2 linked regions of the Tamandua tetradactyla genome follow. The protein of the gene in region 1 purifies or fractionates together with the protein of each later gene. This does not show direct contact. Links are inferred from orthologs where the notes say so. Each region holds a gene or a part of one and is shown on either strand. Other genes may lie near its edges.

The links.
Region 2: the proteins of NCBP2 (region 1) and KPNA3 purify together in Homo sapiens (co-immunoprecipitation; 3 studies listed by BioGRID and IntAct, with this or other methods). This does not show direct contact. The link is inferred for Tamandua tetradactyla from reciprocal best matches to the Homo sapiens genes NCBP2 and KPNA3.

What each region holds. Positions count from the first base shown.
Region 1 is NC_135336.1:16,604,274-16,615,163, reverse strand, and holds the start of NCBP2 (nuclear cap-binding protein subunit 2), read right to left. Parts: upstream 5,441-10,890; 5' UTR 5,367-5,440; coding exon 5,289-5,366; intron 1,165-5,288; coding exon 983-1,164; intron 1-982. Other genes in the region: protein NCBP2AS2, read left to right, coding at 5,595-5,894. UniProt on the Homo sapiens protein: Component of the cap-binding complex (CBC), which binds co-transcriptionally to the 5' cap of pre-mRNAs and is involved in various processes such as pre-mRNA splicing, translation regulation, nonsense-mediated mRNA decay, RNA-mediated gene silencing (RNAi) by microRNAs (miRNAs) and mRNA export.
Region 2 is NC_135330.1:108,180,532-108,191,958, reverse strand, and holds the start of KPNA3 (importin subunit alpha-4), read right to left. Parts: upstream 4,865-11,427; 5' UTR 4,801-4,864; coding exon 4,732-4,800; intron 1-4,731. UniProt on the Homo sapiens protein: Functions in nuclear protein import as an adapter protein for nuclear receptor KPNB1. Binds specifically and directly to substrates containing either a simple or bipartite NLS motif.

The sequences.
Region 1 (10,890 bases):
TAAAGTGTTCTAAATGAACTGTCTTAGGCACAACCAGTGCAGTGTTTATGATTTTAGCAGGTCAAAATAAAATCCTTTTTCATTCTGACATTTGGGAAACCCACATATAGCAAAGGCAAGCCAGCAACTTGGGAGAGAAGCCCTGCAGAGGTCCACAGTCTTCTTTTCCCTAATTATGAATGGAAACCCAGGGATCACCAGACGTTTTAGGAAAATTTACAGCAAAAAATACAGTCAAAAAAGAAAAGCAGGCTGTGACCCTAGATAGGTAAGGGAACACAGGAAAAAGAAGAAGAAAAAAAAAAAACCAAAAGATCAAGTGTGGGAAATTTCTCAGCATAGAAAACAAAATGGCAAATAAATAAACAAATGAGACCCAAAGGATAAATCTAGGTCTAATACTTAAAAAAAGAGAATGAAAAGGATCACAAGCATGGTTTCGATGTATAAAATCAATCAATATACTACATCTACAAAATGAAATACTATATAGCCATTTAAAAAACAGTAGACCTATATGTACTAACTCAGAACTTCTGAGGTAAGTGAGAAAAAAAGGGTGACACGGAGTATGCTACCACACATCCATATTGCTTCCGGCCAGACACCCAGAGACTGGTAACCAGGGCAGGAAGTTAGAGGTTTGTAGTGCTATGAAAAGACAGTATTTTCACTACACCCTTTGGACTTTTTTTTTAAAACCATGGACATATACTCAAAAGATTGTTTTTCTTAAAGAATCAATTATAAACAAAACACAGATTTCATTACAAAACAGAGAATAAATGTCACCAGATTTGACATCATAAGCATGTACACACATCAGATAGAAGGCAGGAAGTACATGAGGGAAGGAGAGGGAGAGATGTGCAGGATAATAAGTTCAGATTCTCACTTATTTAAACAGGCAACAATCATTCTTAACTCTGTGGAGTTGCTACACTCTGGTTCAGCAGCTACATTAGAGACACAGGAAGGATACTCTACAAAACAGAATCCACAAGCTGTTTTTTTCATTTTATCTAGGCCCATAATGATTTTCTTTATGTCACCACTTTTGCTGAAAAGTTCATAGATTTGTTCTTCAGTTGTGTAGAAGGAAAGATTTCCAACATACAATGTACAGCTTTTCTTCAGTAACTTCTCTTGTTCTTCATTGTCACCCTAAGAATTGAGAAAAAGGTAAGCAATACAATTTACAAAGGGCCCTGTTTAAATAATATTCCAATTTTTCATTATTTCTTATTTTTCATTAAATTTTCATTAAATATGAAAACTTTTCATTAATTCTGATTGGGGAATTAGCTTCTCTCTTCATCCCACTGCACAAATCCCTTGCAAAAAAAGAAGAGGGTTCACACTCTACATAGTGCTTATGGAAGGTCCAGGCAGCTTTTAGTAGCGCGTCAAGGCCACAAGCAACCTGCCTTCCACTACACTGTATTGCCAAGCTTAAAATCCAAATCTTGAGCCAATATGTGAGAAAACGCTCTCTTATCCTCTGCAGCAAAAAATAAACGACTTTCTAGAGATAGGGTTCTCCTTATAATGCTCTTAGAAATGCACAAAGCAGCAACTGCTTAGATGATCACATGCTCAAATAATTTTCTGAGCTTAGAAGAAAATACAGTAATCACTAAAATCAAGAGATGTCACTTTCTGGGCTTCCTAATTTAGGAGCCAAAATGAAGCCAGAGACAGGACTATAACTTGGTTTCAGCAAAAATACCTGACAATTCCTGAGGACAACAGGGCTACTCATGGCAATTTAGGTATCTTTACAGAAACCAGTGTGGCAGTTCCTGGACTTCCTTTTCTACCCTCTACATTAAGAAGGACAAATGCTGATTAAATAAGAACCTCACCAGCTGACCTACTCTCAGGCCCTTCTGATCCAGATAGGGCTTTAACATCAACCATACTACTGTGTGGATTTAAGGTGACTTCTTAAACCTAATGGTGGTATTACTGCTTACAAAGCATAAGCTGAGTGGACCCATTATCAATTCCCCACAGAGCTCTTTCTTCAGAGCCCTTCTTTCTTCATTTACTACTCCCTAAGTAAGGCTGCCCAGTTCTTCCATTCTGAAAATATGACCTTGCGTTATTTGTTTCTGAATGCTTTGTAGGAGCATTCAGAGTAATAGATCTCATGATCACATTCAGTGACAGAGAAACAGGTAAATCATATAAACTCACATCAAAAGAAAACTGATTAAATAAATTATGGCACATCAGGCCTCGCTTTCCCTAAGCCCGACTCTGCAAGTGAAATCACTGCCCTCCCTGCTACGTGGGACATGACATCGAGGGTCAAAGTCTCCCTGGTGGCATGGGAGATGACTCCCAGGGATGAGTCTGGCCCTGGCACTGTGGGATCAACAATTCCATCCTGACCAAAAGGGGGAAAAGACGTATAACTAATAAAAGTATCAGTGGCTGAGAGAGTTCAAATACAGTCGAGAGGCTACTCTGTGGTCACTCTTAGGTAAGCTTCAATTAGACATTGCTACCTATCATAACTTGCCAAACCCCAACCAAAACCATTCCAACCAATCCTAAAGAACACTTGGGGCAATATATAAGATTCTACAAAGATTCCACACTGGGGGTAACTTTCCAGAAAACTACAATCCAGATGGGTCGCAGGACCAGATAAGTCCTGAAACCTAGAGGGCCCAGCCTCTCCAGAACATCAGATAGTTCCATCTCCCTACCCTATATTATTAATAATCTCTTCCAACATGAAAAAGTTATAATAGCCATAGCCCAAATACCCCTAATGAGTGGGATAGAAAGATTAAAGGTGATGGTGGAGTTATACAGAGAAGGTAGGGTTTAACAACAAATGATTTCTGAATCACTGATTATTTCTTTTTAATCTCCAGTATCTTGAAGCAGCTGTGGAATTGTAACCCATACTAAACTCTGAAATCTATTCTACAACTAATTATGCTGTGCTTTGAAATTTATTACTTTTTTGTATATATATATTTTTCACACAAAAAAAGTTGATTGTGATGATAAAATATTTATTCCTTCTAGTCTCCTATGTTCTGGAGCAGTTAGAATGAAAAATCTGAGATAATGGTATGGCAACTCATGACAAACTCTGGGATGTGTCCTGTAACTACTTGTTTGAAGAGTGCTTTGAAAACTATTGCTTTTTTCTTTCTTTGTTTTGTATAAATGTTATACAATAAAAAAGTTAAATAAATATGGCACATCAAATATGTATCCCCTAGAAAAATGCACAGCCTCATGCAATATGGAACATTTCCAAGATGAAGTGCAAAGTGAAAAAGTGAAAAGTGCAAAGCGAAAAAAGAAAATCAATGAAAACAGTATGTTCCAACTTATTAAGTCTGAATATACACAAGTATCACACACAAGAAACTGGTAACTATGTCTGAATCTGGGAGAAGCAGAGATTTTATGTATATGTTAAATCATTCAGTTCTCAGAACTGTATGAAGAAGGTCCTAATTTATCATACTCATTTTACATAAGAGGAAAAACACAATTAAGTAACTTGTCCAAGGTTCAACAGCTACTCAGTAGTTGTAGCTGGAATTCAAACCCACTCTTACCTCAATCCCATACTACCCTTAAAAGCCCACAGAACTCCTGGGATGAGCCGGCACTCAGCACCATAGGATTGAGAGAGCCTTCTTGACCAAAAGGGGGAAGAGAGGAATGAGACAAAATAAAGTTTCAACGGCTGAGAGATTTCAGAGTCGAGAGGTTACCCTGAAGGTTATTCTTATGCATTATCTAGTAGATACTGTGTTCCAGTAGCCTTGATTCCTGAAAACAATTGTATAACTATATAGTTTTTACAATGTGACTGTGTGATTTATCCAGGGTATGGACAGGTGAGTAAAAAAAATACGGACAAAGAATGAATAAATAATGGAGGGGGGTAAAGGGTAAAATAAAAAGTTGGGCATACTGAAATACTAGTGGTCAATAAGAGGGAGGAGGAATGTATGAGCTTTTTCTTTTTATTTCATTTTCTGGAGTGATGCAAATGTTCTAAAACGATCATGGTGATGAATACACAGTTATGTGATAAAAAATCCGTACAAAAATCATTCTATGTTAAAAACAGGTTTTCAGAACTTTGAAATAAAACATTAGGAAAAGTAAAATCACTTTATATTACTGTTATATGTTAAAAATTACAGTAAGGAGGCATTTCCTTTTTTCTGCTGTTCTCACATGTAAGTAATGTCAAACTAATGGCCTATGGCTTAAGACAACAGTGGTGTAAGTATTTACTTAAGGTATATTAGTGTGTATTCCATTCAGGGAACACTCGAAATTCCACCTGGCAGTACTGTACTACTATCCAATCAAAGCAACAGGCTTTAGACTGTAGAGATGAGTAATAGCAAAAGTCGAATACTTTCAGTTTTAATCTTGCAGGATGGTTTAAATTCAAGATACTTATGATGTGAAACTTTGTAAAATAATGAGAACTGTAAAAGTGGTGGAAATGGAAATCATGCTGGCACACAGTAAACATTAAAAACTGCTGACCTTTACAATCACTACTAGATGGTTGAGAGCTCTTAGGGTGAGGTAACTGTCTCCCCCCTCCCCCTAGGGCTTAGCTAAAAGCTAAATGTTTACTAGATAACTGGATTGGTAAATCCACCCCACCACTACCACCGCCTTACACATGTCCTTTGTTGATAACGAAAAGTCCAGCATGAATAAATACTGCAGGCTCTCCTTTTCCACAAAAATCTTCTCTGACACTGCCCAATATAAAATGTCCCTCCCGCAAATCAGCAGTTCTCTGATCTTGACACCCAGACATCCTCAACGTGCCTAGCTAGGCTGGTCCATCTCTTTACACGGACAACTCCATGTGGTGGGGGATGCCGCAGGGTTCAAGTTTTATCTCCCACCACTGAGAACACTGTAAGACCTTCCTACTAGACAAAGGAAAGGACCCAAAATGCCAAAGGGCATTGTTTCGGTAATCTAGATTAAGAAAAAAGAAAAGCCCCGATATCTGGGTCAGGAAGGCGTCTCCGCGTACAAGGAGCAAATGCAGAACTGAGAAAGCGAGCCTCGAACTCCCTTTCTATGAGAGGAAATAGCTTCAGTGATAACCAAACGCCCTACCGAATCCATTTCCTGTCTCCCCAGGCCGCACTATGGCCTTACTTCAATATGAGGGACAGCATCAGGGTGGAAGACACAACAACGAGACAGGGCAAATCGTTTCTCAGAGTACTGGCCCAGGGTCCTCCCTCTCGTGGCCCGGCCTCCCTTACCCGGAAGTGCTGGTCCCGGTATTGGCTCAACTCCACGTAGGAGTCGCTGCGCAGCGCCTTCAGAAATCCGCTAGACATAGTGCACGGAGGTGAATAAGGACGCTGCGACGCCGGGAACAAGGTGGCCGAGGCGGAGCCGGAACCGGAAATGCGTATGGTGGATGCAGAAAGCGGAAATCCCAGGCCCAATCCAAGCGCGTCAGTGTCGTCATCAGGTTGCGCCGATGCAGGACGCGGTCCTTGTTGGGAGTCGCCGATGAGAAAGCGTGCGCTGTGTGCTCCGGGTTCCGGGGCGCTCCGGGTAGGATGGTTCTTCGGCGGCTACTGGTTTCCTTGCTGAACAGCTCGCAACTGGTGGAGCGTCTGTCCGAGTCGCGGCCCATCCGGCGTGCGGCGCAACTCACGGCTTTCGCACTGTTGCAGGCCCAGCTGCGCGGTCAGGACGCAGTCCGCCGCCTCCGGGGCCTCAAGGCTGGGCCCGCGAACTCCCTGGGCTGCCGTGCTGCCCGCTTCAAAGACACCTTCACCCAGGAACTGCGCCGCGGCCTTCGGGACCGCCCGGGGTCACCACCAGGTAGCCAAAGAGGCCCGGGCTCAGAACCCTAAGCCCGGGCTTGGCCGAGTCGAGATCACCTACTTTCCCTTCTGGGCTCTACATCAACCTCGACATTGAAGCACTGCGCACGGCCCCGAAATCTGACTACAGGGTCCCACTCATGGGAAGGCCCAGACCAAACCGACAAGCGTGTTGAAACCCTTTGATCGGACCGATACAATATGGGGAAAGACGCCGAAGCCCGACGGGTAAAGATAGGCCAGGCCCAGATACAAGACATACAGAGAGCCACAGCCTGAAAGAGATCCTGCTCTCTGCAGATGAGACCGAAATTCTTGATAGATGCTGCTGCATCTACACTGGTACAGCCCGGCACTCTTCCAAAGAAGATTACTGACGGAAAGACAACCCTGCAGCTGCCAAAATACCCTGATTAAATGTGTGAGCTGATGAATGGGCCTGAGTGTGATACTTCTCAGGCAGGATGGATTAGGAATCCTGGGGGCTGTAGGTCCGTGGTAATAGTAAACACATATTGAGTGCTTGCTTTGTTGGTAACTTGCTAAGTGCATCTGAACATGTAAGGAAATGGAGGCTACTTGTAAGTTGCCAAACATCTTACAGAGTGGTTTGTGAACACAGGCACTTGTCTCCAGGGCCTCAGTCCTTAATTATAGTTTCTTTGCCCTTACCCTGACCCTCAATGCTTGCCTATACCCATCAGCACCAGCCCCTGGAACAAGCTGCCTGGGTTCTTACTCCCCCATTTTAGAGAGTAAGGGATACAGACTAGGACTGTTCCAGCTAATGGGCCTATGATTAAGAAATCAATTGTATACAGAAGTACCCTGTCTTTGGGGCTTCTAGCTGAATTTCTGGTAATCACTTATTAGGCTACTTCATTAATCGTGTAATCGAGAAAGCTTGAAGGCACAGGAAAGGCTTTTAGGCTGGTGGCCACACAGAATTTAATACCTAAGCTTTTCTCTCAGTCATGAAGAGTCTACCCTGGGAATTTCAAACTCATGACCCTGGAGTACAAGCAATAAATGGGGAGGGCAGTGTTACCAAGTGGAGAGTCTCTAACCCATCCAGGGTGGGTATTGGCTTCTCAGTGCCAGCTGGGTTTTGTTGGGTGGGGTTGTGGTAGTGCTGGATCGTATGGTTTTTCAGAAGCTGGAAATTATGTTTTGTAGGAAAAATCTGATTTCTAGAGTATTGACAAAAACATTTATTACTTCACATGTAACAAAATAGCCATTGGCTACCATTTTTACTACCTTAGCTTTGGCCTTGCTTTGTCTTTTACAAATGAAGTAGAGGTTCCAGTCCTGGTGCTACACGGTTTTTGGATATAAAGGCTATCCAGCTATGTATTGTAATTAGTATTGCTTTCATGCAGACAGTCCTGCTTTTTACTTTTATAGGTTTCTGTATCAGTATCATTTTAGCAGCTCTTTCTAAGAGTAGGATCCTTCTTGCCACCTTCATTATCTCCATTATTAAGAAGATGAGTCATGGGCTGCCACCACTGACACCATCAGTTGATCCTCCTCTTACAGATCCCCTCCTAAACCTGTATCAGGTCCTCTCTGGGAATAGACCCAGTGATTACTTTGAGAGGCATAAAAAGATGCTCTTCAAATAATACTGCCAGATGTGTTTGAAACCTGAAAGCTTTCACAAGTGACAAAGCTTTCCATTCTGCCCTGGATACCTACCGGAGTGGCTGGCTGAGCATATCCTGGCTTGCCTACAAGGTGTATTTTCAACAATTTTCTCTTCTCTGGCGATAGGGGATTGGTTTGAGGTTTGCAATCAGATGCAGACTCCTAGGAATTCATATTCAAGACAACGAATTATTGGTAGCCATGTTAGTGACTAACTAAAAAGAAAGCCCTGAATTACCTACTGCCAAGGGATCCTGATTCTGCCCTTATCAAGTCTTAGTTGTGTGACTCTAGATTTTAGGATATAACACAGTATCCTTATAACAGATTTTCCTTTTTCAGGTTAGTTACAATCAAAAGAGCATTAACTAAACTAGTAAACGTCCCACTGAAAAAATGAAGCATAAATTGAAAATACACCAGAAAAAAAGGAGAACAACTCTCCACCCAGTAAGTCACTTAAAGTGGATATGCCCGAAGGATCCTTAGGGTATTGGCTTTTTGGAGGATAATGGTGACTGAAGAGTTTACAGTCAAAAGCAGGAGAGGAGAAGGTTAAAATTGTGTCTAAATTGGCCCTGTTTGCTTTGACCTGAGAAGGTCAAAGAAGGTATTCTAGGTCCTGCTCCATCCATACTTGAAAGGAATATATCTTTTCAGTTACAAATAGAATTGTTCTATCTACTCTTGTTCTCCACTTTCCCAATGGCGTATTCTGATTTGGCATCCCACCCTCCTGCCTTTCTATCAGAAGGGCTATTACATCCTCTCTGATGCCAGACGCCCCACTCTCCTAATGACCAAAGTCCTGGTTTGACCTCCTCCTATCAAAGTTGCTATCAAAGCTCCCTCTTCAGGACTAGAGGTGACGCCCCCTGGCAGTGGGGAGCCTGAGAAACTTGCCCTGCCTGCTGCCTCTATCTCTTTGGTCTCTGGATATCAGAACAGCAGACTATTAGCAGTCCCCAGCCCAACCCCTTACCCCCAATATAAACAAGCGCACAAAAGGAGAAGCAGTAAGGAAGTAATGAAGCTTCCAGATGCAGATTGGCTATTTGGTAAGAAAGGAAAGAAAAGGGGGCAGTTCTTTATTTTCCCTGGAAGAACTTGTATAAGAACTAATTTCCTTCTATTTTTTTTTCAGATAGAGAAAACTGGGTCCATCTTTTCTGCTCTAGCAAGAGGTGATTTCATTCCCATCTAGCTTCATTGGAGGGGCAGCCTCCCATGTTTATAGTCAGTAGCCTGTCATTCCACCATTACCTTATTGATGAAGAAACAGACCAAATTCTTCCCAGCATCCCTTTCCAAGCTCTTCTAAGTCCTGACGAAAGATGGAGGGAAGCAGCTCACCCACTATACCACAGACCAATTAAGACTCATCACTTGATGCTGGAGAAATACCAACACTTTACAGACAGATATACAATCTACATGGACTGCCACAAGAACAATTCCTCCAGGGAATTCTGAGGGTGTGAACCCAATTGCAGGGGAAGGGACAGGCAAAAGTGCCAAGAATCCCAGAGGACAGTTTGGAGTCCCAGGATCTGGAGTGTCTTCAAGGTGACACGTGATTTAATAGCCATAGGGCAGAAAGCCATCTTTGGCTGCAAAATAGACAAGTGGTCATCAATGCCAGATGGGATGATAAGCAATAGAGGTATGAAGACAAATCAGAAAAGCAAAGCACGAGAACAATGAAGTGTCATGATGGGTATAATAAAATTCCAAGGAGGGAAATATCTTGTGTTGTACTACAGCCAACTCATACTGGCTCATGAGATCAGACTGTTGACATTTTGTCCCAACTCTTAGTTCAATGGTATCATATTGGTAGCTTGAATTGACTGTGGAGAAAATATTTACACCATGGAAATTAGCAAATGCTCCAAATCAGGGTCCCCACAGTCACACTCCAAAAAAAAGAGTTAGTTGTTAAGCATCTGCCAGCACATCAGACTTTCCTCTTCCTCAGTGGTGCTGAGTCTGAAGGAAGAGGTGACGCTAGAGCAGCAGCCATAGAGCAGCATGCCTGCAGTGGGTGTTGCTCTAAGGTGACTAAGGCTTTGGCCAGAATGCAGAACTTGAAAAGTACTCAGGTTTGGTCTTTTTCAAAGGTTTGGTTTCCTGTCTGTGCTAATCTCCAGGTCGCTCATCTTCCCTGTGACTTGGGTGCCTCTTGTTTTCATTTGGGATGGTAGGAGCATGAGGAAGGAGAATGAAAACAGTCTTAGGCATGACCACAGCTTCTCAAGCTCCCAGTAGCCAGGGTGGAGGGTACCCTCTGTTGTGGGGAGAAACCTGCCTAGTGATGTTGGTTTGTCATGGAGTTTGCTCTCTAGCCTCTGAATTCGGAGAGTGACAGACCACATATAAGAAGAAAGACCTCTGGGAGCGCCAAGTTGTCCTCAAGTGCTGTCAGATACTGAATGAGCCCTACAGGTTTTCTGCTCCCGCAGCAGGCAGAGGGCCTAAACAGACAGCAATACTGAGGAGGGAGAACATCTGGGCACCTAATCTGGGAAAATGATTCTCAAGGGGCAAGGCACAGAAATGTCCAGAGTTTCCCACCTCCTCTGTCAGGAACAGTAGTAGAAGAGAGTGGGGAGAAAAGACAGAAAATTACTTGTTTTGGATATAACCAAACGCTGAGACAGCAGGCATCAAAGTGTCACAAAATACAAAAACACTCCCAACTTTCATGCTTAAAGAGTTTTACTGCCCAGTTAGGGGACTGTAAACCCCAGGAATGACTCGGTTTTAGCTGGCAAGACACCGCAGAGGCTCTCCAATCCATGTACACTTGGAGAGCAGATTAGGTGAAGAGATAGGGTTTTTCTTAAAATCACACAGCCATTAAGTAGAAGACCAGGACTAAAACTCAGGTCTCCTAAATCTGAGTCACATGCTGTCTCTACCTCACTGATTTCTAGGCACCTGAGAAGCCAACAAGTTATCATGGCAGCAAGAGGTGATGGAAGGTGTGGGAGAGATCATTCAGGAATCTAATTAGCAGTTCATCTCTTCACATTCAGGTATTTTGATATATTTAAACCATCACAGTGGCTGAATGAAATAGGGCAGGAACAGACATTAGGTACCACTGATTATGCCAGGATTCTTTGGAGACCTTGGCATCAGAACATGACTGGTCATATCTTTGGTCTCTGAAGTAAAAGGTACCCATTTACCCAGAAGGCAGAGCAGCCAGCAGCTGTGCCCAGGAGAGGCAGAGTGAGAATTCTGAAAGAGAAAAGAAAGGATGAGAACCCGGTCCCTGACCTACCACCACTACCTACCTACAAGGTGGAGTGGTAGATTCTGGCTGAACTTTGGGCAGTGACTGCTCCACCATTTGTCCAGGCTTCTCACC
Region 2 (11,427 bases), on another chromosome or scaffold:
TTGAAGCATTTTGAACTAAAATCACATGGTGTGGCAGAACTGTAAACATGGGTGTTCCAGAGATATATGAAGGAGTGTGAGGGAAAAAAGAGTCTGTCAAAGTGAGTCCCATTTAACAGACAGCCAAAGAAATTATATAGGAGAACAGCATGTACGAAGGCACAGAGATGAAACGAGACTGGTCACTCCACCATCTCAAGCACTTTATCAAGGCCAGCAGAAAGGAAATAAAAGGAAAAGTGGCAAAAGAGGTAGAAAAGGTAGGTCCTTATGTGGCACTCTTAAGTGACGTCCTAAAGACTTTTTAATTTTATCCTGAAGGCAAAGAATCTTAAACACGAAAGTAACATGAAAAGATTCCTATTTAAGAAAGATCAATCCACAACATATATTGGCAGGGAAGATAATGGAGACAGGAAAACCAAGTAGGCTACCATTACAGTTGATCCAGTGAGAATAAGGGCCAAGAACAGGGAGTAAGGCTGATGAGAAAGGTACAAATCTTCAGGTGATGAACCAATACAGAGGGATGAAGGGAGGTAAGAAAAGGGAGTCCAAGAGAAAGTTTTATGACAATCAGGCTGTACTTAACTGTAGTGCTTACATAGGGAAAAAATCAAGTTGGGGATGCTAGTGGAGTTTCCAAGTGAGAAAATACATATTATGCCCAGTGTTAGAAACTAAAGCATAAAGTTTGAAGTGTTAAGCCCAAGGATTTGGTTTATCTTTTTTAAGCAAGACCAACCAACTGGCTCCTTGATAGTAAGAAAGAAACTATACAAGAATAAAAAGGGTAAATAACTAAAATGAGAAAGTAAAAAATTTTTTTCAATCCCATATTGGCAGGGTTTTAAAGTACTGAATTAGGAATTTCTGTGATACACTCAAGGTTTCCTATTTTCCCCTATTAAATAACTTTCAGGCATGCTTCATACAAGTCTTGGGCTCCACTCAGTGGAGACAGTGACCAAAAGCTCTGGCTTTAATATCATTCTGTTTCAATTTAAGTTCAGTTCTGCCATTTAACACTATGCCTTAGTGCTAGTTACTTAAGAGTTAAAGGTCTCAAATTTCCTCAGCAGCAAATAGGGAAAACAATATCCCTTCCTCATAGAGTTGTTATGAAGATTAAATAAATAACCCCTACAAACTACTTAAGTGCTGATACATTGTAAATCCTCAATAAATGCAAAGATTTTAGAAATGATTATTATTAGTTACTGTTACTGGTAAAAATGTTGTCACATCCTTGAAATATACAGGAACAAACAACAGAAAAGTTGACCTGGGTGGCAGTTACCTGCATGCTTGCCTTCTAAGTATTCATAAAACAGAGCAAGTCTATTTTGTGTACTTTCCTATAAGTATATTTGGAAATTTCAAAATATTTTTTTAAAGGAAAAAAGGACCAGAATCATTGCCTTACATAAAAAGGTCTGATACTGAAACACACATTCCAGACCAAATAAGAGTTTCCTTTTCACTACGCATTTCCTAGTTTTAGCTACAAAAATCATTTCCCTATCCAGGCACCAAACTGCTATTGGTGATAACTACTCAACCTAGAAACTTTAAGATAACCTTTATCCGTTCTCCTCTGTGAGTTTTATCCTTAAACACAACCAAATTTTAAGAAAGAAGGAAGAGAAAGAGGAGGAAGATGATAGAGGGAGGAGGAGGAGAAAATTCAAAACTCATTCCAGGCTGCAGCCATTTCCAATCTTGAATTTTTGGAAAATTCCTCCTTTCAGACTGGATAACACTAGTCCTCCAGAAGTAATTCTAGATTTTACTGTCATACACGCTTTACCATGGCTCTAATCACATTATAATTTCTAACTCTGCTCTGGAATAAATTCATTCAGATCTCTCTTTCAAGAAAAAGCTTCCAAGCAACTCTTTTCTGGAAGGCATATTCTCAGCCCACCACAGACCAACTGCAAGTCTCTTAACTGTTCACTACCTGGTCTCTCCTTTTTCACCTGGATATTTATTAACAAACTTCTCATAGGCCTCTTTCAAGTTTGGTATATACTTCCTAGTGATTCACAAACTGCGTTCTCTCTCCAAGGATCTCTTAAAATCTTTCTTCTATAAAGTCATTCTTGAATGAATATGAAATAATTTTACTCCTCCACTCTCTCCCCACTTACAACCCCCAGCACAATTCTACACTTCCATCTTCTTTAGAAATATTCATTTAATTCTTGCACCTAGCATCTTATTTGTGTAACAGCTGCTTATAACATGTTGGATCGTTGTCCATCCTGTATGTGAAAAAGGAGGAATGATATCTCATTAAAGTGCACCTCACAGTTTTGGAAAAGCCTGATAACCACAACTAGTTAGTCACAGAGCTAAGTGGTAGAATACATTTCTAATGTAATACAGTTTCTAATGGATACAACTAAATTAGATATGGTGTGTCTGGTTTTATTTATGCCTAAATCCACAAAGGTACTTAGTCAGACTTGAGCCCAATCTGCCTTTTAACCACATCTCTAGCACTCTCTTCTTTCTCCAAGCCTCAGCAGGCTACATTTTTCTCAGGACTCCTCAAACACTAAGTGTGGAGTACCCCTTCTTTCCCCTCCCCCTCATCCTGCCCTCTGCCTGGCCAACTTTCTTTGAGCCTTCATTATTGGCTCAATCCCATTCATGCATTAGGAATCAACTGGAACAGCTCCTCTGACCCCCAGCTCCTAGTCAGGTCCTTCTCGCGCATTCTCATTGTACCTATATCAGCATACTTACTGACATACTGCATTATAATCACCACTTTACTATTCAATCAGCCCCACTGTACTGTAAACTCCTGGAAGGTTCAGGCTGAATTCCTCCCCATTTGTCTCCCCAAGACCTGGAACCATGCTGGCTGGGCACACAGTTAGATCCCCAACAGACAATCAGTGCCTGACTGCTGAGACCTACTAGTGAACCCTGGGTAGGCTCCATGTGCACCTGGGTTCCTCACCTACTGTATCTTCCTTGCATAAAGCGGGGACAATGCAACCCCTGGCTCTTAAAGTTGCTATAGAATTAAATGAGGCATCATGAAGCTCTTAGTACAGTGCTTGCCACAGAGAACCATCACATTTGAATGACTAACATTACATCCTTAGTTATCCTATGTATCCTGGAAAATGTCGTGTTGTTGTGAGCAGTATTTTCAGTTTGAAAGACCAGGCAATCACACATCTAAAAATCACTGGCTACCTTCTGATCATGAGCAAATATTTGTTGTGGACCTGTTATGGGCAGGAGTCCTAGCTGGGTATCACTGAGCCCCTAGAACCCAACAAAAGAAACAATAAGACAAAACCTGTACCAATAGTCAAGAGAAAAAAAGGATGCTGTTAGTTTTTCTGTACAAACAGTATAGGTATTTTTCAAACAATCTAAGTTTTGCTTTATAATAGGGGGAAGGCACATGAAAAAAACCAGGGATAGAAAAAGTTCAAAATTAACTCCTGTCATCAAGTGAACCAACAGGAGGAGGCAACTGCTTGTTGCTATTTCCAAATTTCACTTTTACTTAGACATATTTCTCACAAAGGAAATTTAATCATGACCAGGACAGGGACAGACGACCTTTACTTCTCATTCAAATGGAAATTCCACAGATAAGTCCCTAGATTTTTTCCAGTTAGTTTAATTTTGTAGCTTTGAAAAAATGGCTGGAGTTTCATCTGTTTTCTACAAACAGAATGTGGAACGGCTTTTTTTTTTCTTTACCACCTTTAAAAGAGGATAAAACGCACCCTTCTTAATCACAATAGCCTCTTGATAAGAATTACAAAACTGGACATGGTGCCACCTAGTATTAGGAAAGGAGGCTGTGGCCTTAAAACCATTTCCCCCCTCACCAACCCAGAGGTCAGAGTCCCAGTGAAGTTTGTACATTATACTACATTGCTTTGGGTAGCTGCAGAGAGACCTCTAGCGCTGCCTGGATAAGCCTAGTTTGCAAATAGTACCTGCTAATGTCACCTTAACGAGACAATGGCAACATGCTGAGTAGCAACGAACTCAGTGACCACGATGAATGTTTACAGTTTTGCAACCACTTAGGAAATCCTACCTGCTTGGAGCAAGAGATACATAAGGCCGAACGAACCCGAGCATCCAATTTTATTTCCGTAAAACCCTTCGAAGAAAGCATCCACCTTTGCAAACCCCACTCCAAGAAAGGCTAAGAAAACGGGTCCTGTTAGCGGAGGTCGGAACAACCTTTCCTCCAAAGCCTCCACACAATAGATGGTAAACTACTGACCATCTTCACCTTGCCCCAAATGCCAGCAGAAGCAGGAGCGGGAGCTGGAAGAGCTCAGCACGCCTGACCCAAAGGACAACCCTGAAATACAAGAAAATGGTCCTGGCGCATCCTACCCTCCCCCACCCACCATCCTCAAACCCGTCAGTTCCCCGGCTGGTCCCCACCCCCTCTGCGGACCGCCACCACCAGCCTTGGGCCCGGCTCGCCCGCGGGAGGCGCGGGAACGGGCCGCGCCTCGGTCCCCAGCGCCGGCAAGCTGGAAGCTGCACTGCCCGGGGGCAGCACCCCTGCCTGCGCGGCCCCCGCCTCGGCCCCGCGGCCCTCCCTCGCCGACACCAGGCCGCGCCCGCGTGACGGGGCCCACCACGCCGGCGACTCGCGGAGGGCGGCTGCAGCCCGGGCCTCCCCGCTGACCGCCCCGCCCGGTGCCTGCCTGGCCGCCAAAGCGCGCTCACCTCCACATCGCGGCCCTTGTTCTTGAAGCTCTTGATGCGGTGGTTCTCCAAGCCGGGGTTCTCGGCCATGGCTGCGCGCGACTCCGGCGGCGGCTCCTCCTGCGGCGGCGGCGGCGGCGAGTCTCGGCGCGGAGGGGGGGACCGCGGGCGGGGCGGGGGCGCGCGTTCCGCGACGCCGCTGGGCGCGAGGTGGCAGCAGCGCCGGGGGAGCGGACCGATGGACAGGCGGGGCGGGGCGCGGGGGGGGGGTGACGGCGCTGAGGGGCGGGGCGTGCCCGGGAAGGGGAGGGGGCGGGCACGTGACCGGGGGCGGTGCCCAGCCTGGTTCTGGGGGTGACCTCCGCCCCCTAGCAAAGCCTCCCCAGCACCCCTCGGGCTGCAAGTCATACACCAGAAATGGAGCCGGGTTTGGTGGCTTTTACTCGCCCGCGTGCGCGAGAGCCGGCCGGAGACTACAGTTCCCGGCATGCCAAGCTTCGGCCGGGGGAGATTCCTCGCGCCCTTGGGAGAACGAGGGGAATGCCGGGAGCCCTGCGCGCGCCTGGGCGCGAGACCCAGCCCCAGGGCCTCCTGTGGGCGGGGAAGGGGGCGGTGCTTCCCGGAGCTGCACCTTGCGCCCTCCTGCGACGGAGGGGGCGGGGCTTCCTGGGGAAATGAGAAAGGAGCTCCGCTTGTGCCTTGCTCCCTCGCTTCTCCGGACTCCTCCTGCAAGAGTACCACCACCCTCACCCGCTGTTCCCGGGCTCTGCTTTGGGCTGGGAAAAGAACATTTATTTCCACCTGACCTGTGCGTGGGTGTGAACGTGATATGTGTGTTTACGTCTGTGTTACCTGACTTACAGCACCGGAATTAAGCTCGGGGAGAGCAGGCACTTTGGTTGACATTTCATAGCTACTGGACAAACGATGGCGCTTCAGCACCTCCGGATTTCTTCAGCCTCCTCCCAATCCCCGTGCTGCCACCTCCATCCCCTCTGTGGCAGCCCCTGTACGTGTGTGTCCCTGACTCCTGGTCAGCCACCACGCACAATCTCAGTCTCAGAGGCCCTACTCCGCGGGCTCTCCAGTTAGCATCTCTTCTTAGGCTCTTCAGAGGAAGAATCCAGGGGGATTTGCCTCAGAACACTCAGAACTGTTTTCTGGGGCAGGTGGGCTTCGTTTAATTATTTGTGAAATTCAGTTTCAGACTCTGGTGGATATAAACAGGCAAAAAAATGTTATTGTACATGTAGTTCAAATGAACTGATGTCCTTCAAAGATTGCTAGAAAGATAACCATGATGAGATTACTCAAAGAACAGACTTTTAAGGGGCCTAAAAGAGCCAGAGGTCCCAAGGTCACAAACTCAGAGGCATTCAATGGCCAGGCAGGAAATCCAATGGAACTGGTCAGGCTATGTCCAGGGGCATTTGTTTTCTGAGTGGCAGGTGGCCAGTTGGTAAACACAGGACTATTTAAAGGCTCCAGACCCTTGTAGCCCAGTGTTGCCTGAGGGTCTAATTTTTCAAAAGAGTAACAAAGCTGGATTTTTTTTCCTTTATTTTTAAATGACACTTTTTTTTTTTAATGTACTTGGATATCCAGTCAGTATTCTGCTTTGAAACTGTTATATTCCCCAGAAAAGCCATGTTCTTCTAATCTATTCTCCTGAGTGGAAACTTTCAATTAGGTTGTTTCCATGGAGATGTGACCCACCTTATTCAAAGGTTGGTCTTAATCATCTTTACTGGAGTCCTTTATGAAAAGATAAAAGGCAGAGATATTTTGGAAAGGGCTCAGAAACAGAAATGCCCCAGGAGGAACAAGCAAACACACACAGAAGCTCAGAGACATTCTAGAGAGAAGGGCCAGTAGACATCACCATGTGACTTCCCAGGTGCAAGAGGAACCCTGGATACCATCGGCCTTCTTCAGAGTCAAGGTATCATTCTCAGGATGCCTTAATTTGGGCATTTTCATAGCCTTAGAACTGTAAATTTGTAATTTAATACATTTCCTTTGCAAAAGCCAGTCCATTTATGATATATTGTATTCCAGCAGCTTTAGCAAATCGTAACACTTAGGAACTCCAGGCTTTCAGTCTGCCACTCCTGGTCCCTAACCCTTTTGAAAGAAAAAAACATCACTAACAAAAAACTAGGACTTAAAATGAACAGATTTCTTCAACTCTCGTTCATAAAGATATAGAGGTGGCATATGTGTCACTTTCCCAGATTATCTGGGAGGGGAAGGAGAGAAAATTCTATACTGTTGCTGAATCCCTGTTATAATTAAGCAAGGTATTCTTTTATCCCCTTCTACCACCTCCCTTCATCCTACCTGCTGCCTTCAAATGTATAAACCTTTCTTGACTCATTTTGGAGTTTTAGACATATTTGGTGATCACTTACTGTGTATGTCAGCCTTGGTACTAGCATTAAGATCCTCTTGTAAACAGGACAACCTGGTTCCAGGAGACATCACAACAAAATAAATAATCACTCAGAAAATGGGGTGGAAGTTAAGAAAGGGTAAGGAAGCTCAAAGCCCTCTACAGGGAGACTTTTATAACCTGTCCATTCCAAACTTTTGAGGCTCTCAGAGCAAAAGTGTAAGTGGAGGTCTACAATTCATAGGTATAAATATTTAGAAGTTATAAATCAAGCTGAAAAACTTAAATAAAATATATTCTAGCCTCTTGCATTAACAAATGCACCTCTTCAACAACCTTAGAGTCTGAGTTCAAATTTAAATGTCTTAATTTCCCCAACTTCTGCTTCAGAAGGTGGCTTCTCAAGGAGGGTTGGGGCCCCACCCACATCTTGCTGTTTGTCCCCCTTCTCTTCCCTGTCCTGATTCTGTGCCACACTGTAATGACCCATAATGTTCAAGTCCTGCCTACTCATCCCCAAAGCTCTGTCTCCATCCTTCTACCTGCCTCAAGAGGGTTAGGCCTAGATGCACAAGCAGAGGTGGCATGATGTCTCCCTTGGAAGACAGACCCAGAGAAAACACTTGGAAAGACCCTGGGAACAGGCTTGGAGTGATTTGAGCAGGGAACCCCAGGGCACTGGTACTCAGAAATTGGTCCAAAGGTTCAGGTTCCAGTGAATAAGATCCTTTGGCCCCATGGACCCCTTTCCTCATGGAGGGGGGTGGTGGATACACCAGAAGTGAGTTGAGATCCTCTCAAAGTTAGTTTCCAAAGCTGGGACCCCTCTTGCCCAGGTCTAACTTAGTCACTTCTTGCCATTATCCCCTGGTGATTTCAACATCCACAACTCAGGAATTCCAGTCCTAGATTCTCTTCACATCTTAACTTCACTGGGTTTCTATCACTTATAACCTATCAGGCCTTGGAGTTCTTAATCTCCAGGAAATGACCACCTCCAGCAACTCAAATTTGGTGTTTCTCATGGCTAGCACCTACCTGCTACTTTTGGCTTCACTGTAGTCTTGACCCTTGCCCTGAAATTTCTCCTGGTAACTCTTCTTTTAAATAGACTTATTTTCCAAATATATGTTGAGTGCTCACCACCCACCAAGCATTGTCTTCATCAGGGAAACAGGGTCTGGGGGCGGGGGGTACCAGAACAGAGGTAGAAAGAAAGGGCCCAAAGCCAGGGGATCAGCCAAACCCTCCTTCATCCTCTGTTTCATCATCCATCATTCCCAAAGCATTGGGAATCTTGCTAGGTGGCGATACACAGCAGGCAATGCAAACCCAACAGATCCAAAAGGGAACGCATCATTTTCCCCTCAAATCAGCTTCTCTTTGTAAATTCTCTGGCTCTATGATGATATAGCCGTTCCCCCAAGGCCTCCTTGCTCAAAGCCAAGAGCCGTTTTTGCTTCCTGCTCTTCCCTTGGCTCTCTCACCCTGCTACCATGTTAATTCATCCTTCAGTGTTTTCTTAATCCTTCAGTGCCACCCACAAGACTGCCATTATGCCTCTCCATTCTGGTGGTTTGGCACTGTAGGTGCTCCAGAAAAACATGTTCTTAAACTTAATCCACTCCTGTGAGTAGGAACCCATTGTAAGCAGGACCTTTTGATGAAGTTCCTTTGGTTAAGGTGTGGTCCACCTCAAGCAGGATGGGTCTTAATCCTATTACTGGGGTCCTTCATAAGCAGAATGAAAGTCAGACAGAGAGAGAGAGAAAGCCACAAAAGGCACAAAGCTGAAATTCAATGGAATCTGGAAGAGATGGGAGAGACCAGAAGAGGCCACCATGTGCCTTACCATGTGACATGACAGAGGAGCCCAGGACTGAGGATTGCTAGCAGCCAGGCTCAGAACACCAGCCTCTGGGAAGAAAGATCACTTTGCTGATGCCTTGATTTGAACTTCTCCTAGCCTCAAAACAGTGAGCCAATAAATTCCCATGCTTTAAGCCAACCCATTGCATGGTATTTGCTTGAGCAACTAAGGAAACCAAACCATCTGTTCTCTCCACAATGACTCAAATCCCTTCTCCTGATTTTCCTGACTTTTCACCATGATCTGACCCAGACATCCCTCTTCCTCCACCACTGTTAAATCATTTCTAAACTCAGTCTGGTGATTAAGGTCATAAGTGACCTGGCCCCAGCATTGAACACTTCTCTTATTTCTGGTTTTCCTACACAAAGCTCATGCTTTACCCAACAGGTTTGATTCACCCTTTTCCAAACATGTTTTTGCCTTTCCAACTTCCCATCTTTGATGGTTTTTTGGGGGTGGGGAGGAAGATGCATGGACTGGGAATTGAACTCAGGTCTCCCGCAGGGAAGGTGAGCATTCTACCACCGAACCCCCTGTGCACCACTCCCCACCAACCTTGATGTTTTGATTTGCTTAGAAAGCCCCGCCCCTATCTTTGCCTGTCAAAATCAACCCTTCTTTAAATACCCATCCCAAGTCCATGAAACTTTCCCAGCTTGGCACAGTGGAGGGACCTTTCAAATCTGAAAACTAAGGGCCTAGGACTGATTTCCACATGAACAAGCTTAGACAACTCATTTTTCTTCCCTGAACTCTCTTATCTACAAATGAGGATTCTGAATTGCTGGGGTTTTTGTGAAAATCAAATTATGAAATATATGTGAAATTGTTATCTTAATATTAACTTTTGCTATCTTTCCAACCAAGAGTGCATATTTTTTCTCTGAACCTCAGAACTTTACCTATTACTTTGTATTGGTGCAATCTGTGCAGAATCTAATCTTTCCCACCCACCTGTTGTTTCAGTTTGCTAAAGCTGCCAGAATACAAGATATGAGAAATGGATTGGCTTTTACAGAGGAGATTTATTAGATTACAAATGTACAGTTTAAGGCCATGAAAATGTCCAAATTAAGGCATCAGGAGGGAGATACCTTCTCTGAGGAAAGGCTGCTGGTGTCTGGGTTTCCTCTGTAATGTGAGAAGGCACATTGCGACATCTATTGGTCCTTTTCTCCTGGATTATGGTTTCAAATGGCTTTCTCAATTTCTGTGGTTCCTTCTTACTTCTCCTGGGACGTTTTCTTTCCCTGAGCTCTCTCCAAAATGTCTCTGCCTTTTATCCTTCCATAAAATCCTCTTTCAGCAAGGGGATGAAGACCCACCTTGAATGGGCTCCACGGAAACAATGTAAGCAAAAAATTCCACTCACGACAGGTCTGCTCCCACAGGGATGGATCAAAAGAACATGGTCTTTTCCGCGGTGCAAACAGATTCAAATCAGCACATCTGTAAATGCTTCAAAAGGCTTGTTCAAATCTGTGCTCCCCAGCCTAGAATAACTGGATCTCAGTGCAGGTATGCTGAATGAATAAATGAATTACTGAGTAAATGAACGAACGGATTCCCTCATGATCGCCTTTTCTATTTCACAGTCCCTAAGAGCCCCTGAAGCAAAAGCAAATACAGAAAAGTGAAGGTAGCAGCATTTGAATTCTTCAGCCCAGCTACCCAGGAGTACACGCATAAACTTCGGTGGTACTGGTCTAAACCAGTGAGAGTTTTCATTCACTGAATACCTACTGTGCTAAACATCTAGACACAGCATCTCCAATCCACCTGAGAACACTGCATGGTTAGAATGATTCTCTCTATCCCTCTCTGGGGCAGGAGGAGAACAGGGCTCTGATTCCAAGGCCCCGTGAGTCTCTGTGACAGCGGCAGGAGCAACGGAAGCAACACCCATAGAGAGATGGGTGGTGGTGTGGACAGCATCTAAAGCACTGGTGAGGGGGACCTCCAATTTCCCTAAAGAACAAATACCATCCTTGAGCTCCAGGAAAGCAAGTTTCCCACCCCAGGGGTGCCCCTCTCCAAGGGATGTTCTCTCCCTAAGGTGTGTCTCTTTCATAAGTGGCAACCCCTCCTCAAGGAATGTTCCCTCCCCATGGAGTATTCCCTCTCCAAAGGATGTCCCCTGCACAAAGGGTGTCTCCTCCCCAAGGAGTGTCCACTCCCAAAGGGATGTCCCCTCTCCAAGGGGTGTCCCCTCTTTAAGGGCTGTTCCCCCCCCAAGGAGGTCAGCTATGAAATAGCTGTGCCCAGCAGTACAACCACCTTATGGCTGTCATTAGCAGCAGACCCAGCTTTGTGGCGGTGAGGTGAGAAATCAGAGAGAAAGAATCTGGGAAAGTCTCAGAATAGCTGGGGACAAAAAGGAGCTAATGTCTGGCCAGTGGCCCTGCAAGGAGCAATCCATAATGTCAACAGTACAGATAAGGTGATCTCATTT